2 linked regions of the Kluyveromyces lactis genome follow. The protein of the gene in region 1 interacts with the protein of each later gene in a pairwise test. Links are inferred from orthologs where the notes say so. Each region holds a gene or a part of one and is shown on either strand. Other genes may lie near its edges.

Region 1 (3,552 bases):
TTATTAAAGATTAAAGAAGATCTCGAGAGATTGGAGAAAACTTTGGCAGACGACCCAGTGAAACTTGTCGTGGAAGATAACGTTTCCTTGGAAGGTAATCCAAAGCAGGAATACATGACGATGGAAGAAGTCGATTTATGTTCTCGCCATTTGAAAAGATCTTTGGAGCTTGTTGTATTGGAAGTCTTCAAGAGAAAGTTGGCAAGTATGGGTAACGTGAAGGGAGAAGAGTTGAAGGTTAGATGGATTCAAGCTTATTTCCCATGGACTGCACCATCATGGGAAATTGAAGTGTTCTGGCAAAACAATTGGCTTGAGCTCTGCGGTTGCGGTCTTATCCGTGAAGACGTTTTATTAAAAGCTGGATATGAACAAAATCAAAACATCGGTTGGGCTTTTGGATTAGGCCTTGACCGCATTGCAATGCTATTATTCGAGATCCCTGATATCAGATTATTCTGGACCCTTGACGAAAGGTTCCATTCCCAATTCAAAGAGGGCACAATCAACAAATTCAAACCGTACTCTAAATATCCAGGTACCATCAGGGACGTGGCCTTCTGGCTTCCAACAGATAAGAACTTTGACATTATCCATGAGAATGATCTAATGGAAATCGTTAGAAACGTAGCAGGAGATTTGGTTGAATGTGTCAAATTAATTGATTCATTCACACACCCCAAAACCGGTAGAAAGTCATTATGTTACCGTATTAACTATCAATCAATGGACAGAAACGTCACCAACGAGGAAGTCAATGAGCTGCAGGATAAAGTTCGTGATACCCTGGTGAAACTATACGGCGTTGAACTGAGATAACCAAGATACAAAATATTATATATAAATTCGTCGTATTTACTAGTGATGCGATTTCATGTTAATAGTATAAAAAAAATTCATTTCAATATGTAACGGTTAGTGATCAATAAGATCTGTGGGTAATTAGTAACCATACAGTTCTTTTTGAACACTATCTAAGAAGAAATACAACGACACTGTCATTAATTCATCGTCTGTTCATCGTTATTATCGCATATCTCTCTTAACAGCAAGATTTCAAGGTGAAAAATACTGAGATAGCTTACATATTACATGTGATGAACATCAAAGATTATATACTGTAAACGATTCAAGACACATTTAAAGCTGCTAAGAAGTATTTCGGACTACTGAAACCATGCAGAACAAGAAGATTGTCATATTGTATGGTTCTGAGACAGGAAATGCGCAAGATTTTGCGCATATTCTTTCTCATAAGTTAAAGAGACTGCATTTCTCACATACATTGATTAAGATCGGTGATTACCATCCGAAAAGCGTTCTGCAGTGCAAGTACCTGTTTATCATCTGCTCTACGACTGGACAAGGAGAACTACCGCGTAACGCAAGAGAGAACTGTAATGGACGGGCTCAGGGGACTCTCTGGCAGTTTTTGAAGAAATCTACACTTCCTGCGGATCTTTTAGATCATGTTAACGTTGCCATGCTTGGGTTGGGTGATTCCTCGTATCCAAGATTCAACTTTGGTATCAGAAAGCTTCATGAACGTATTGTCAATCAACTTGGCGCTAGTGAGATTTTTCCACGCTTAGAAGCTGATGAGTTGGGACTTGCTGGGAGTAATAAGGATACTGGAAATGGAGTTGAATCCGTCTACTATGAATTTGAGAAAAGAATCATCGCCTACATGTTAGAGAAGTACCCCAACAGAAAGCACGATGGCAAAATGATGCCCAGAGTAGGCCTAGCCGAAGATGTTTACTTGAAACCGAGCAATATATTAGAAATATCCACTGTTAATGGATCGACAAATGATCAGCTACCTGATTCTAAGATTCAATTTGTTGGAGATGAGACAATAAGACATGGAACCGTTAAGAAAAACAACCAAATAACTGCTAAAGATCATTTTCAGGACGTTCGACAATTTGTGTTTGAAACCGAGGATCATGAAGCCTATCATCCAGGCGATACAGTTTCTTTATATCCCGAAAATTCAGACAATGACGTTGAATTATTCCTCGAAGCTCAACCTCATTGGAAGAAGGTCGCTGATGAACTTCTTACAATAACAGACCTGGAAAATTGTGATCGGTTCAGAGATGGTGGTGTTGTGAAACCACTTACTCTAAGAACCTTGTTAAAATATCATTTTGATATCGTCAGTATACCTAGGCAGAGCTTCTTCATGAAAACTTGGACTTTTGCAAATGCTCACGAAGATAGACCAACCGATCAAGAGCTATTAGAACAACAGAGGGATAAACTAAGACAGTTCGGGTATGGACAAGACCTACAGGACTTGTATGATTATTGCAATAGACCAAGAAGATCAGTATTAGAGGTTATACAGGATTTTGAATTCTTAAAACTTCCATGGGAGTTCGCATTAGATTATCTACCCATGATAAAGCCCAGATTTTATTCCATCTCAAGTGCACCATCTGATCCTAATGTTGAACTAACTATTGCTATTGTTCGTTATAAGACTTTGTTAAGAAAGGTACGGAAAGGACTATGCACGAACTACCTACTTACATTAACCGAAAACGATACAGTTCGTTATAAACTTCAAAATAATCATTTACTTCATGAAGATATTATTGGCAAACCTATCATCATGACTTCTCCGGGGGTAGGTCTCGCACCAATGAAGTGCTTGATCGAGTCTAATTTATTCAAGGATCAGTACTTATTTTTTGGTAACAGAATGAAGGATAAGGACTTTTTATATGAAGATACGTTATCTATGTGGAAGAAAGAAGGTAAAATTAATTTATTCACTTGTTTTTCGCGGGATCCCATAAATTCTCCTCATGCTAAGTATGTTCAAGATCAGTTGTGGAATCAATCTAGTCTAATAGCAGACCTAATTTTGAAAAAATCTGCCATAGTATATATTTGTGGATCCTCCGGTAAAATGCCAGTTCAGGTTAGGTTGACTATAGTTGAGATCCTGAAAAAACATGGAAACTTCGAAAACGCAGAAGAAGCCGAGCATTATCTAAAAGAAATGGAAAGAACTGACAGGTATATGCAAGAGACATGGTAGTTCAGTCAAGATTGAAAAAAGCGTCAACTTCATACCACACGGTATTTCTTGGAAACTTAAAGGGGTTCTTTGAATCATCTCCAACCACATGCTTTTCCAAGGCCGAGATTCTACCCATTGCCCATTCCCTATCTTTCAATAATTCGTAATTAGACGTTGAGTTTCTAAGAACGTATTTGATATCAGTATTTGTCGCAGTGAAAATTGCCCATACAACATGCTTCTTGGCCGAATCTTGGGTGTTAACATTGAATGTATCCGGTCTGCCATTAGCGTTGAGTGCAGGATTCCTGTTCGCTTTACTTAATGGAATATTTTCTGTGATAGAAGCAGAGCTTCCGTTAAGAATGCTAGCTGCAATATCAGACTTGACAACATTTGGACGTTGCATAACAGACTGTGTAGATGAGTTTAAATCAATGGATGAAAATGAAGAATTTAGCGACGATATTGAAGAATTTAATAGCAATTCCTGATCGTTGATTGGTAAAAAAAGAGCA
Region 2 (2,696 bases), on another chromosome or scaffold:
CGCGTGGAAGCAAAGAACGGATCCCGTATTACACATTGAACTCCGTCGTTGGGCAGACATTCTCGTAGTGGCTCCTCTTACTGCTAACACCTTATCTAAGATTGCCTTGGGCCTATGTGATAATTTGTTGACAAGTGTAATAAGAGCTTGGAATCCACTGTTCCCAATATTTTTGGCACCATCCATGGTAAGCAACAGTTATAACTCTTCCATCACGAAGAGACACCTTAACATGATTAAAGAAGAAATGCCTTGGATTACCGTATTCAAACCATCAGAGAAAGTTGTTGGGATATACGGTGATATAGGACTTGGTGGAATGATGGATGGTAATGAGATCGTAGACAAGGTGGTTATGAAGTTAGGAGGGTATCCAGAAGACGAAAACCAAGAGGAAGGCGAAGAAGATGAAGACGAAGATGACGACGATGAAGAAGATCGATCTGATAAGAAGAACTTGGATGATGATGATGACGACGATGACGATGATGATGATGATGATGATGACGATGACGATGACGACGACGACGACGATGACGAAGAGGAAGATGATGAAGTGAATGAAATCGATGAAGTCAAGAGTCTACACGAAACCGTAACATCGCCACCATCCACCGACGCATAACCCGCCATAGTCATCACAACACCAACCTTCCGATTCTAATCACAACGGTACACAAAAGCTATACATAAATGCATACATAACTATCACCCCATTGTAACATTCTAATACCAGACATACAGGTCCTTCCGGTACCGTCCATCGTATTAACCGGTTCCGGCAACCCAGCAGTTGTCTTACTAATCTAACTTTTGGCCCGTAAGTCACGTGCCATGATATACTTTCTTTTTTTTTTTTTTCTCTTGATTACTCAGGAAATCCGAAGCTTGACATCTGGAATATATTTGGAAGAACTTAATCATCTTTCTATGAGTAAGAAGTTGGAAAGATGAGTAACTGTTTTCTTATGTTCATGATAAAGAGCGGACAGCAGGACAAGTTAAGATTTTCTTTATATGGGTGCTGAACTAATATCAAGAGAATACACTACTTAGTCTTATTTCACAGTACTGTTTAATACCGGTTTATTATTGAGCTGTTCACTGTTGCTCATTTCCCCTTATACTAACTGGAAGCAGAGATAAAAGAAGGTCAAAGAAAGTATGACTGTGAGTAGAGACTCGTTGGTTTTGATCCATCCAGCTGTAACGCAACAGCCGGAGCTATTGGAAACTATTGAGAAGGGTTCAATCTTGTCTGAGACTACTATAGTTGCTCAGTATTTGATTAACAAACTAAATGATGGTACTATTTCTCCAGATGATGAGAAGTACGATGTAATATACTATGTGACTCCTGAAAAGCCAGAAGCCATTCAGTTTCCACCAAAACTAATACCTGTGCTTCACAAGACGTTGAAACCTTCAGGTAGACTATATGGATTAAGTGATACTTTGAAAGTGGATGCTTTAATTAATGGGTTTGAAATTGTTAGTAATAATGGGTCAGAGTACTATTGGGTGAAAGAATCTAGAGAGAAAAAGGCTCCAGTGAGCATATCATTAAAGGGAAACATGAAGAATGGAGCCAGTGCACCTGTTGCTTTACCAAGTTTCAAGAAGCTGAATAAAACACAACCTATTGGATCGTCACCCTCGGCAGGACTTGCGGTTAGTTTGAAGAAATTACCTACATTTAAGAAACTGACTAAAAAGGTATCCGCAATCAAGCTTACTGACTCGGATCTAGAGGACGATGACGATGATCTCGAAAGTGACGATTCTGCAAACAACTCTAAAACCAAGTTCTTTGATGATTTCGATGATCCAGAGACCGGAGACTCAATTGATGAAGACGATTTAATAGCAGAAACCGAAGAGGATACAATCACAATGATCCAGTGCGGTAAATCCAAGCAAAGAAGAAGAAAAGCCTGTAAGGATTGTTCATGTGGACTTAAAGAGATGGAGGAACAAGAAATAGAGTCAAGAAGAGCTAAGCAACAACAAGTCATTAAATTCTCGGAAGAAGAATTGACAGAAATCGATTTCACTATAGAGGGTAAAAAAGTAGGAGGTTGTGGTTCATGTGCTCTAGGAGATGCCTTCAGATGTTCCGGATGTCCATACCTAGGCCTCCCCGCATTCAAACCAGGCCAATCTATTAACTTGAACAGTATATCCGACGATTTGTGAAGGAGCCGAACTCTCATGAAACATTAAAATGGAGAACTAAAAACACTACATAGTCTGTATTGTATATACAACCCACATACCCCAAATTCAACCATTTCGCATCTTTAGATCACAGAATATTCCCTTGTGCAGTACTGATGCACTCCTAGGTCAAGATGACACATGAGACTTGCCCATTTGCTATAATGAGCAAGTCTCGAAATGCTTTTTTTCCGTGATTACTATGGCATTCAGGTATTATATAAAGAAAAGGAAAAAAGGAAAAAGGAAATAGACAGTTTCAACATAGATAAAGGCTACAGGTCGTCTTTTTTGATAAAGGTATTTTAGTCATAACAGAGGCAATAAGACCAAAACCTCCGTAATCAACTGTTTGGTTGGGTCTACTAAGGATATATACAATCTAAAGATGCCAGAAACGATAAACAATAACTTTACTGGTGAAAACAGCGAAATGAGAGCAGAACATGCAGACGAAAGTGGTGTGGCAAATGGCGGCA

Evidence for each region.
Region 2: the proteins of TAH18 (region 1) and DRE2 interact in binary tests that used the Saccharomyces cerevisiae proteins (3 or more experiments, as listed by UniProt). The link is inferred for Kluyveromyces lactis from reciprocal best matches to the Saccharomyces cerevisiae genes TAH18 and DRE2.

What each region holds. Positions count from the first base shown.
Region 1 is NC_006038.1:1,061,500-1,065,051, reverse strand, and holds TAH18 (NAPDH-dependent diflavin reductase), read left to right. Parts: upstream 1-1,177; coding exon 1,178-3,052; downstream 3,053-3,552. Other genes in the region: MSF1 (phenylalanine--tRNA ligase), read left to right, coding at 1-819; autophagy protein ATG11, read right to left, coding at 3,054-3,552. UniProt on the Saccharomyces cerevisiae protein: NADPH-dependent reductase which is a central component of the cytosolic iron-sulfur (Fe-S) protein assembly (CIA) machinery.
Region 2 is NC_006042.1:1,504,121-1,506,816, reverse strand, and holds DRE2 (electron carrier DRE2), read left to right. Parts: upstream 1-1,164; coding exon 1,165-2,196; downstream 2,197-2,696. Other genes in the region: phosphopantothenoylcysteine decarboxylase complex subunit VHS3, read left to right, coding at 1-625; TMC1 (Tmc1p), read left to right, coding at 2,606-2,696. UniProt on the Saccharomyces cerevisiae protein: Component of the cytosolic iron-sulfur (Fe-S) protein assembly (CIA) machinery required for the maturation of extramitochondrial Fe-S proteins.